Linked DNA regions of Drosophila melanogaster. The protein of the gene in region 2 binds, or shares a complex with, the protein of the main gene of each other region. Each region holds a gene or a part of one and is shown on either strand. Other genes may lie near its edges.

Region 1 (3,621 bases), 5.4 Mb from region 2:
CACACTGGCGAAAAGCCCTTCGAGTGTAAGACGTGTGGCAATCGCTTTCGCCAGGTAGCGGCGCTCATCCGACACCAAAAAGTCCATGACGAAAAGCCGGCGAAGCCTCTGGGGGAGAGAAATGACCGTAAACAAAAGGTTGAGGCACTACGGCAGGAAATTGCGAAGGTCGCCAAGAAGGAGCTCAAGGATTTGAAGAACCAACTGGCACTGGAGAAGCAGCAAGACACATACGAAAAGTAATAGGCAGCGGCAGCTAGCCAAACTGGTCCTGACCTTAAGGAGGAACCCTAATCGCAGAATAGTTTACGATTACATAGGGCAAAAGACTTCCCATAATAGTGGGAATTTTTATTGTTGGTTAATATTTAACTATTACTTGTTATCCTATTTCTAAGTTGTTAAATAAACTTGACCCAAATGACACACTTTAGAATAACTACAAATGGTTTTGGACTAAAACTAGTTTTAAAAAAAATTGGTCATAAATCGAAACAAACGATTCTAGTTTTTCAATTTTTTTTTATTTTTACTTTCACTTGCTTGTTATTTTGATGAGAGAGTGTCTTAATGTCGTCAAATGATTGCAAACAGTCGGAACCGGGCGCAAATGTCTGCGTTCCGCGATATCCGGCCGTTTATATGATAGATGGAGTGATGGATGGATGATAATGATTAGATTCAAATGATACAAAATGCGATCAAAAAAATCTACAAGTAGATAGCAAAAATTTGGTATACACATAAGCAGAGCAAGAAGTTCCCTAAACAATGGAAAATGGTCGATGGAAGTGGGGGCGTCATCTGGTGGGGCCCAATGTCTGGCTATGCCCCATCACCGCCTGCCGCACCAAGTGTGGGTTCTAAGGAGCTTCAGGCGTCTTCAGATTGTACTTGGCCTTAATGTTGTTCAGTTCCTCCTGTTTCTTGTCCATGTCCACGCGCTTGAAGGCCTTGTTGGATTGGTAGTAGAGCACCACCAGATAGCGATTGCACACATTAAAACCCGATAAATGGTCACAGGCGTTCTTGGCATCGAAAATGTCCTCGTAGACGACAAAGGCGGTGCCACGCGTTTCCGGAGTGTTGCCTCTGCAAAAGATACACAAATTGATTGAGAGGATTCACGGCGAATAGCATTATCATCTTCAATCTTACACGCGTATCTGTCGAATGGCTCCAAATTTGCCGAATATGTCGTACATCTCGTCCGAGGTGATTTTGTACGGCAGGTTCCGCACGTACAATAGCCGATTCACCTCTGGCGGCAGGCGGATCTGCAAAAGAAATAGCACTTTTCACTCAATACATTTGCTTTGTGTGTGGAGCCGTAGGTTTTCTGCTCACATGGTTGCGCTTGTTCATGTCCGGTCGCTTCGGATGTTAAGCGGCGACAAGGCGAGAAACTTTCACTCGGCCTCGAGGAAAGTGTGTGGCGGCTTTGTCTGACCCGGGATGAATGTCCTGAAGCGTGGTCCTTTGTTTAAAATTAATGACTCCTCTGTCTGGCCTCAAACCCAAACAAAATTGAACAGGGTGGCGAATGTGGGCACTCTAAATGGCGAGAGTGTGGACGCATTTCGAGAGCCGTATCGAGTGTGACCGTGCAGCAGCACTTAGATACATATGTGAGAGGAAGTTCGTTACATCGGAGCAGCTTTGGACTGCAAAATTTGATTTAATATTCATTTTTTTTCATTTTGGCAATAAAATAATTTGTTGTTCGGAAATTATATATCAGAGTGATTCAAACATTTTAAGCTGCTTAAAAATATTAAATTAAGCACAATAAATTAAAAAATCAACTACATTAAATATAATTTTAAAACCCGTGACGACACGTTGCCATCTCTAATAAAAAATAGCATACTCCCTCTCTCTTGCACGGTCACACTGTATACATCTCGCTAATTGTGCAAAGAAAAGGTGAAAAAAGAGACAATTTACGCAAAATCTTAAGAAAATTCCAACTAAAATAGTTTTAAAGCACAGCCAACACCCAAAGGTAAGTAGGGGGTATGCGGACAACGCAGAACTTATCTCGGAAAAGCGTTTTCAACCGCACGCCCGATGTCACGAAATATGGCGGAGGCAGGCGAGTTCTATTCGTGTGTTTTTTTTTGTCTGGGGTTGTGGGCAGAAAATCGCACGTTACTCTCGGGGCAGGGCTTTCAACTCCCGCCTTCCGCCGTAAAACCATTAAGTGCCAAGGAAACATCGAACGGAAAACGTAAATTTCACAACAGCAGATGTCTGTTTGCGGGTGTGGGTGCAAAATGCCCTGGTGTGCGTGAGTGGCCTCGAACAGAGTGTCTCTCGTGCTCTCTCTTTCTCCCCCATTTGCTACCCTTTGCGAGGCCATTAACCCTAATTTCTAATTCCGAATTCACTAATCAAACCTAAAACCCTTGCGATCTTCCCTTGCAGCAGCAAAATGACGTGGGAACCACAGGGAGAAGGTCTGCAGCAGATCATAGCGATCCTCAAGGAGTCGCAGTCACCGGACACAGCCACTCAAATGGCCGTACAGATGGTGAGTAATAACTTCTACCAGGTACGGTTCCTCGAACTGCATGCACATATTGTGTCCTTCTCAACAGAAACTGGAGGAATTCAATCGCTACCCCGACTTCAACAACTATCTTATCTATGTGCTGACGAAACTGAAGACAGAGGACGAGCCCACGAGATCACTCAGCGGCCTAATCCTCAAGAACAACATCCGCATGCACGGCACCACTCTGCAGCCGGAGATCGTGGAGTATATCAAACACGAGTGCCTGCAGGCAGTGGGCGACGCTTCGCCCCTGATCCGTGCCACCGTGGGCATCCTGATTACCACCATCGCCAGCAATGGCGGTCTGCACAACTGGCCGCAGCTGCTTCCATCTCTCTGCGAAATGCTCGACAACCAGGACTATAATGTGTGCGAAGGCGCATTCAGTGCCCTGCAGAAAATTTGCGAGGACTCTGCCGAGATTTTGGATTCCGCAGCGCTCAACAGGCCATTAAACATAATGATTCCAAAGTTCCTGGAGTACTTCAAGCACAGCAGTCCAAAGATCCGCTCCCACGCCATTGCCTGCATCAACCAGTTCATCATCAACAGATCACAGGCTCTGATGCTAAACATAGACAGCTTCATTGAGAACCTCTTTCACCTGTCATCAGATGAGGACCACGAGGTGCGCAAAAACGTGTGCCACGGATTGGTCATGCTGCTGGAGGTGCGAATGGACCGTCTGATGCCGCACATGTCGCAGATTATTGAGGTATAACTTTAAAATAAAATATATAATTAATAATAATTATTCTGATAAATTTTTGTTTAAATATCTTATTTAACGAATTTTAGTACATGCTGTTGCGCACCCAGGACACCGATGAGGGTGTGGCCCTGGAAGCATCCGAGTTCTGGCTTTCACTGGCCGAGCAAAGCATCTGCAAGGACGTGCTTGCCCCTTATCTTGCTCAATTAGCGCCAGTTCTTGTACGAGGCATGCGGTACTCAGAGGTCGACATAATTCTCCTCAAGGGAAACGTTGAGGAGGATGACATGGTGCCCGATCGAGAAGAGGATATCCGCCCGCGTTTCCACAAGTCCCGTGCACACACAATCAG
Region 2 (8,237 bases):
TTACTAATCGATCCAGTAATTATCATAAATAAGTATTGAAATTTTTAATTTTAAAAACATTCTCAGTTACTAATTTACAATCAAATCATTTCATTAGTCTAACATATGTAAAATAACATCATTGTTTAACTCAACGAAAATGTGGCTTAATCGTTACAATTTCTTACCTTTAAAACGTTTTAGGTGCAGCGTTTGTTGGTTTTGCCCACGAAAACTGCAATAGAAAGAGAAATACAAAATTAATAACATTTCTTTGCTTTTCAATCAATAAACGCTTGAATTTGTTATCAGAAAAACATAACTTTACACTAATCAAGGCATTTCATAGGTGTCCCAAGGTAAAACTCGAAAATCATCATTGAAAACAACTATAAATAGAAACCAACTTACCTAGTTAAAAAAGAAAAGTTTCCATGATATTGAAGTGTTCCTTTGCTGGCATCTGCAAAATATAAACAATTGTTAGCTTTCTGTTCAATAATCATAAAAGACTAAATTCAGCAAAGTATTTATCAGATATTGACGTTTACGCTAATCAAGGCATTTCATAGGTGTCCCAAGGTAAAATAGCTATGTCATCACAAAAACCTATGTCCCATAGGCATATCGATTCCAACTCACCTTAGAAGGCGTATCGCGTGCGAATATCCTCCAGTTTCTTGCAGATCTGATTGGGAGTGCGGAACATGTCGCCAGCTATGCTCTTCTGCTTGGCTGCCTCAATGGACAGATACTGCTCGCAGAGATCGCCGTCGAGTACGTTTTTGACCGGATAATACGAGCTCCTGTAGCTGAGATGGTCGCGTCCACAGAGTGGAGGATTCTCATTGCGCATGTGCATCTCCAGATGTTGGAAGAAGTCGTAGTCCTCGCGACTGGTGAACGGAACAAATGCTCCAACAGTGCCACTTAGCGTGGCGTATATAAGGGCTTCCGATCCTCCAGGAATTAGCGTTGCCTTCTGCAGCGACATGATTATCTCGCCCACATGGAAGGAGCAAATGTTCTCCGACTTCTGTGAAGCACCTGACAGCAGGCCACGATCCCACAGAGACTTGGTGCCCGTTGGATCCTCGTCCACATCGTCCGTTACGGAGTGGGGCAATCGCTGAATGCTCAGGTTGCCAAACTTATCGGCTATGGCTATGGTATCATAGTCCAGCAAGGTGGTGGCCGTCACCCATCGAGGATGCGTGTCATCGGCAAATATAATCAGCTGGTTCTCCGCGCGACGATAGCGTATGAAAAATACTGATTCCTGAACATCCGACACGTAAACACGATGACCCATGGCTTGGATATTGACAATCTGATAGGGAATGTGCTTGTTCTCGCATTTGCGCAGCATTTTCTTCTTGCCGAAATCGTAGATTCGCAACATTCGACCGCAGCCAGCTAGTAGACGACCCTGGAAGCCACACAGGGCTCCAGGAATCTCGTCAATGTCCGTGCGGTGCATGAATTCCAGACTGGAGCAAGTGGGATCTATTTTGTAGATATCTATGCAGCCGCCTTGCGAAATCCTGGGATTCAGCTGCAGATCCTTGGCGATTCCCACGGCCAGGTAGTACCGGCCATCAGCCGCTATGGAGAACTTCAGCATGGCCATCGACATAATGGCCTCGTTTTGGGTGAGCGGCACACTAAACATCGTCTGACCATGCATTGCGTCCAGGCAACGGATTTGCGAGGCCCAAAGACCCAGTCCTGCTTTGGGCGACGAAAACACGTCCTCGGGAAGGACTTCGTTGATGAAAGCATTGGCCATTTCGCGGGCCAACTCCCTTTCCTCATCGCCAGCTGCACTGCGCATCTCCTCCGCCATTTGCTCCTTTCGGGCACTCTTCGTATCCTCTGTGTAGGCGTTGTGATCGGTTTCGGCAATTAGCATGCGTCCCGTATCCGGATGGATTACAAAGGTACGTGGAGTGTACTGCAAGGGGAACGCTACTTGATTGAAGACGGCTCCCAGTTTCTCCAGGGCCAAGATCCTCAAGGTGTTGGTGGATATAGCCACGATACCTTCGCTGCACTGCTCGCTCGAGAAGCCAGAAGCATACTCAAGGGTTTCATAAGACAGAGGCGTCAAATGGAATCGATTTTGGTGGTAGTACGACAGCCAGGTTCGACTGGACATGGCCAGCACCGCTTCGGATCCCTGCATCTTGATCCGGAAGAGCTTTACGGGTCGGGAACCCAAATATCTCGTTCGGGTGTCTGCCAAATCTCCGGAAACAGGATCGAGCACAGTTCTCAGCAGGACACCGTTGCTCAAGCCAATGTTTAGGTAAATGGTTCCCTTATTGTTGCCACTGCGCTGAGCGGGAGCATCGTCATCCAAACCTCCCTGAGTCGTGCTCTCCGTGTGACCCATTTCGACCAGGCAAAGGGATTCGGCTGGCGAAGGCAGGGCCTGCATGGAGCAGGGAGTGAGACAGTTGTTGGGATCCAGCGATAAGATGCGCACTGTATTATCCGCCAGGCCGACGGCCAAGAACCAGGATCTCTGCTCGCCCTCCGGAACAGTTCCCAAGGCCATGCACATAATCTCAGCAGGCATCTCGGAACGTTCCGTGTACTCGTTCAGCTCCCCAGTCTGCAAGCATAAAATGTATTCATTAGTTGTGAAGTTAAGTAAACGAGGATAAGGCTTTTGGTTGATTTTGAAGCTCAGCACTGCAGGACACATAGTGTCTCAACATGATTGTTCTTTTCGTGTTTTTGTCATCAGAGCAAGAAGTCAACAGTTGAGTGTAATATAGTAGTAGAATTGCTTACCGGATCCATTTCGAAGTAGACCAACTCCCTGCCCGACAAGGTGATGACCACCTGGCGCTGATTCACGGCGCACTTGGTAATGGACTTCTTGCCCGGAGCCTTCCACTCGTTCACACGCTTGTCGGATCGGATATGTCGAATGCCATCGGGGTAAACCTGAACCAGCGCATCATCGCCCAGGGCGGCACAACAGAGCGTGGGCGTGGTGCCCAGGAAACCGCTGTCCGTGACTTCCTCGACGGTTTCGCCAATGCTCAAAACCAGGGTGGCATTCACGAAGGACACGATGATATAGGCATCAAACTCGTCTAAAAAATAGGGGAGCAAAACAATACTTGGAACGTGAGTACTTCAGTTTGAATCGAGCAAGCGAAAAAGATCTGCGTATCACACAAGACATTGAATAATCAGTTTATCAAGTTGTAATCAATGGATAATTCAGCTGAAACACGGTTGATAAATATCGCATCATGTTCAATGTCCGACTGGCTTAAATATAGTTAGCTTTTGTTCTGTTTTCATTGGTATAGTAGCAGTGGTAGTTGTAGTATCTGTTTGACTTATGAGCTGCAGTAAATGTTGCCTTACCTATCGCTTCACAAAAGACAATTTAAAATTACACAAACGAGAGAAATTCTCTTTAATCGCTTGTCTTTTTCGATAGTTCACACATATTGCCGTCTGTGTTTAAGCGCCTGAAATAAGAGAGAACTGGTGGTTGATAACTTGTGGGACTTGTTTGGAATCGTGCGTAAAGCTAGGTGTAATCTATATCTCGATCTGTATCAATGCACCAGTTGAGTTATTAGCCACGTTTCAGTCTTAGTCTAATCTTAGCTTAGGAATCATGATTAATGCCCGCAGACACACTCACCATCAGCTCGTTTCTTCACAGTCCAAACCGCATTGGGATTACCAGGCAGTTCGGAAACGGCCATCTCGGACACCTCGAGGCCGTGGCGCAGCACCCGCAGAGTGGAACGCGGTCCTCGTCCGCAAAGAACGTACAGTTGCGGTGTGTCCTCGTTGGCCAGATCAGCCACCTGGGAGGTGATGATCGGTGCGAAAGAGGGCAGTTCATCCACAAGCACCAGGTTCTTTAGGGCACGTGGCGCAAAGAAGAAGGTTTCACCCTCCTCCAAAGGCATGGCCGAACTGAACTCCGGCTCGTCATCGTCGTCACCCAGATGAGCGATTTGATATAGATAGCTGAGGGTTACACAAATACCTCAATTAGTACCCATTCATATTATTCTCAAATGAATGATTTGTAGATACTCACTGGTTGCCAAACTCGCTGGCCACGAACAGGAAACCCGTCTTTAGCACGCACATGGCAGTTGCCGGCGGCACTGTATCGAAGTACTTTAGCTTGATCTCGGAGACCACATCATCGTCCGTTTCCAGGGTGATCTTAAAGATGTCTCCCTGCTCGGTCTGCAGCAGGAAGAAGTACATGCTCTTGGTGCGATGTGTGGCCGAGCAGATGAAGATCATACCACGTTCGGGATCATCCAGATCGTTTCTCCTGCGCGGAATGGGACAGCGGATATCGTGCTGATCGCCGAGATTCTTGTACGTTAGGTAGTTCTCCGAGCAGATCAGCACGCCCGAAGGACCATCGTTGCCCCCAGGCACGGATACCAAGAAATTGGCGTGCTCTTCCAAGGGCTCCGAGTATTTGCGAACCACGTGGTTTAAGCCGAGATCCAACTCGTAGAAAGTCAGCGTTTGCTGAGTGCGCTGGGCGGCGTCACCTGGAACAAATAGATGCGACACTGATTAGTTACAGGACTATAGCATTGTACTATCAAAATGTTATCAATTGAGATTAGGAAGTGTGGGTCACAAATCAGTGAAGTGTGGCTAGGCAATTACAGCAACACCAATGGTTCAGTGATCACGATTTATCTGGCACTAAGTACAGTCAGTGTTCGTGGTGTGGATCCACTAAACCTGTGAATTAAAGCGCCTTCTAGGGTCTACACGCCACCTAGTTGATGCTTACCCGATGGATCCATGTCGGCCTCTTCGTAGTCGATCTCTAGGCAGGCGAACATGGGATTATCGAAGCCCACATCCACGCCGACCATGTGGTATGTCAGTGTATTCGATTTGTGGGCCTCCAGGGGCGATGAGATCGTGAGGCGAGCCTGCGTGTCCCGGTTCATGATGTAGGCCAGCTTTTGCTTCTCCACGGCGCCAATCATCACGGCTCTTCCTTTAGGATCGATGGCAAAGTATTGCCCAGGCACAATCCTGCGACATCCCGACTTTCCGAACGTCTCCTGGTGCACTTTTTCAAGAGCATTCTTGGAGGGATTGTACTCGAGGATCACGATGCGTCCCGAGTCCGAGCCCACAACTATGTAATCTGCAAAGCAAGGTAACGATATTCGAGATTAGGGTCATACATTTAACACTTTCTAATGACTATAATGATATTTTATTGACTTTGTAACTCGAAGTTTCAATTCGCCACTCCGTTGAGTTGGTTTATGGCAAATGCGACGTCAAGTCTTTCGGTTTCTCTCGCACTTAGACGCGTTCAAAGGTCTTACTGGGGTCAACTAGCCGTCTGTTGCCTCAATAGGGATTTGTGCGACTTACATAGATTATATAGGAGCAATACATTACTCCCAATTGATGGTACAAAACTAAATTACAATTGAAAGACTCACCTTTAGTGCCGCCCGTCAGTCGAAAGGCCATCAGGGCGCGAACGCATCCGAATATCTCCGTGGAGAGCAGGGTGTGCACCTTGCCGGTGTTGGAGTCCGGACGCAGTAGCTCCAGCGACTTGCCACGCGACAGGAGGACCTCCTGCTGCTTGCCGCCGGAGAAGTTGCCGTGGACCGCGTGGGTCACGCCGGTGGCCTTCTGCAGGGTCAGGTTGTACAGATACATGGTGGAGCACTACACTCTTTCACTTTTGTCCACGACTGCAAGAGAAGCAATGTTGAGGTTAGGTACAGTTGCAGACAAGGGAAAAAGTCACGTGAATGGCGGTGTATTTTTTTTTTTGTGAATTTGTACTACTTTGAAAACCATGGCCACAGTATGGAAAGTCGTGTCGCCTAACGATGCTAGTAAGCAGCATTTAATTCTTAGTTTAGCACGCTTCAAATGCGACCAAAGCACAGACATTTCTGATTTCTGGAGATACTTCGTGCGGAAAGCGCTTAAATAATAGTAGATATCAGTGCTAGCACGTGTATTTGTTTACCTTCGGCTGGTTAAATGGATGAATTAGCACATTTCACCAGCGATGCCTTTGGATTCGAATTTTCCTGATTACTCAGAACTCTTCATTTTCACATCTGCTCTGTTCGCCGACAAAAAGTAAAAGAACTATAAAAGTAAAAATGGTGGTGCATAAAATGTGGCTTGACTTATCGATAGTGCGCGGCCGTCGATTTTCCTATCGATAATAGGCCCGGTTCAGACTGATTATAAATTAAATAATTATTTTACTGGAAATTGTTGCTGCAGAAATCATAAGTTTCCTAAAAATCCTGGTCAAGATATATCGAATTTATCCTTTATTAAATATACCACATTTAAATATTCGGAAATTGCCATGGGCCAATCCCAGTTCCACATACCAAAAACTGCCTCAAAAGCTAAACATATAATATGCAATTTTCTGTGAAAAAATGGAAAATTTCAAGGATCTGTAAAAATATGTACTGGATCAATCGTTTTATCTTTCTTTAACTTAAAAAATTTTTATCATGGGCTTAAATGAAAACAAAACCACTCACCGAATTGTGGCTAAAGGGCTGGGCTCAATACTATGCTATTAAGGTATGATTAAGGAGAAAACTTTAAAGGTATTTAAAAAAAATAAATAGATCAGTCCCCAACTATTTTTTTCTGTTTATTCGATCTCTACTTGAGTATATTTTTACGCGGCGTTGGCTCATGTTATTAGACTAATTAGAAAAATCATCAATTATTACTTAGTAAACTAGGTTTGTTGACTATCGATATACCAACTTCAGATTCGCGACATCTCTAATCAGTCATGGAATTGTCAGTGTTGTAAAACCTGAAATGTCATTGCATCTTTGCTTCTTCAAAACAGCTGACAGCTAAAAACAAATATTTCGTGATTTTTGTAAATATTGCTAACGTTTTAATATGGAGGAGCAAGAGGATCGAGAAAAGCTCTACGAAGAAGCCCACAAGAAAGTAAAACTGGGCGAGGAGCTGAAGAAAGCGCTGAAAGACTTCGAAGATTTGCCTGGTGTCAGCAAAGTACAGCGAAAAATTCAGCAAGAGCTCAAATTTCTAAATAAGGTTTGTTTGCCTATTTTTCATGATAAAAACATTGAGTAAAAGCATTTTCCTTCAAGGTGATTACTACAAGGTCCGTAAAGGAACACCACATAACCAGCAGTAACTTTGTTTACTACGATTTTCTCATTAAAACTCTGCGTTTGCAACAAGGAGTAGTCGACATCAATGCCGTATTCCGCCTGGAGTCTAGGGATAGTCCCCTGAGAGTCGACATCGTGGCCAACAATGGACTCAAGTGGGTGAAGGTGATAGCCAGGAACTCGAAGTCCGTCGAGGACGCGGCCAGGGGATGTGTCAGCATCGGAGCCCGAAGTGTCATCGACCAGGCGGAGGATTATCTGGAGGCCAGCGAACTTAGTTTCTGCATGTTCCAGAGGCCGAAGGTAATGCCTAATAGTATGCTACCCTAGACAGCATTCATCATCTGATATACTGCCTTTTAGATAGTATTCTACTTCTCCAACAAAATCGAGGACTCCCTGCATGAAGAGCTAATGGAAATGGGCGTACAAACTGCTTCCCTGGACTCACCAGACACCGACTTGGATATGTACGCCACGACGTCGAACGAACTGAATCTAGATGTGACCACATTGCTGGCCTACGTTAGTGCGCTCACCAACGGATCCGCCAATTGGGTCTACAAGGAACCTCTGCTCACCGAACAGGCGGAAAGGGAAAGAGCCTCGCCGCTAAAACCGCTCCTCGAGAAAATCCTAGAGGGAAAAACCTTGGTCTGCTGCCAGTTAGCCTACGATGCCTTCCAGAGTATTTTGGATATTGTAGGCGGCGAGGGCGAACGGAAGCGAGCCGAGGAACTGATGAAACGGGTCACCGTTTATCCGGATGTGGAAACAATACCCGAAGAATTCTCCCACATACGTTTCACTGCCAACGTAAACGAGCGAAGTCTGAAAATCTTTAGTTTCGGCATGGCCAGGCAAATTTTCACTGTGACTTCGAATAAGGCCTTTGTGAGATCAGCTAAGATGCAGGTATGCATGAATGGAAAATGTGATTTTGTCCTGTCTTTAATGTCTGTGCTTTACAGGGTATCAATGTGCCTGTTTTTGTACACGCTTCAGTTGCACTTACCGAAGGTAAGCAGGCAACAGGAAGACCGCTTTAAAAACCAATAAGCGTTAAGGCTATTCAAA

The links.
Region 1: Sf3b3 (region 2) and Sf3b6 share a complex: the UniProt entries of both Drosophila melanogaster proteins name them as parts of the splicing factor SF3B complex.

What each region holds. Positions count from the first base shown.
Region 1 is NT_037436.4:6,191,618-6,195,238, forward strand, and holds Sf3b6 (splicing factor 3b subunit 6), read right to left. Parts: upstream 1,563-3,621; 5' UTR 1,366-1,562; coding exon 1,348-1,365; intron 1,278-1,347; coding exon 1,159-1,277; intron 1,093-1,158; coding exon 864-1,092; 3' UTR 507-863; downstream 1-506. Other genes in the region: CG7386 (uncharacterized protein), read left to right, coding at 1-243; Tnpo (transportin), read left to right, coding at 2,435-2,533, 2,601-3,272, 3,356-3,621. UniProt on the Drosophila melanogaster protein: Involved in pre-mRNA splicing as a component of the splicing factor SF3B complex. SF3B complex is required for 'A' complex assembly formed by the stable binding of U2 snRNP to the branchpoint sequence (BPS) in pre-mRNA.
Region 2 is NT_037436.4:827,256-835,492, forward strand, and holds the start of Sf3b3 (splicing factor 3b subunit 3), read right to left. Parts: upstream 6,131-8,237; 5' UTR 6,005-6,130; intron 5,955-6,004; exon of another isoform or gene 5,807-5,954; intron 5,721-5,806; 5' UTR 5,686-5,720; coding exon 5,460-5,685; intron 5,385-5,459; exon of another isoform or gene 5,232-5,384; intron 5,153-5,231; coding exon 4,787-5,152; intron 4,754-4,786; exon of another isoform or gene 4,615-4,753; intron 4,536-4,614; coding exon 4,061-4,535; intron 3,988-4,060; coding exon 3,653-3,987; intron 3,474-3,652; coding exon of another isoform or gene 3,466-3,473; exon of another isoform or gene 3,367-3,465; intron 3,257-3,366; exon of another isoform or gene 3,182-3,256; intron 3,087-3,181; coding exon 2,779-3,086; intron 2,738-2,778; exon of another isoform or gene 2,597-2,737; coding exon 623-2,596; 3' UTR 622-622; intron 589-621; exon of another isoform or gene 509-588; intron 443-508; 3' UTR 391-442; intron 366-390; exon of another isoform or gene 282-365; intron 215-281; 3' UTR 168-214; intron 129-167; exon of another isoform or gene 57-128; intron 1-56. Other genes in the region: CG42553 (uncharacterized protein), read left to right, coding at 6,922-7,080, 7,137-7,463, 7,524-8,075, 8,132-8,209. UniProt on the Drosophila melanogaster protein: Involved in pre-mRNA splicing as a component of the splicing factor SF3B complex, a constituent of the spliceosome. SF3B complex is required for 'A' complex assembly formed by the stable binding of U2 snRNP to the branchpoint sequence (BPS) in pre-mRNA.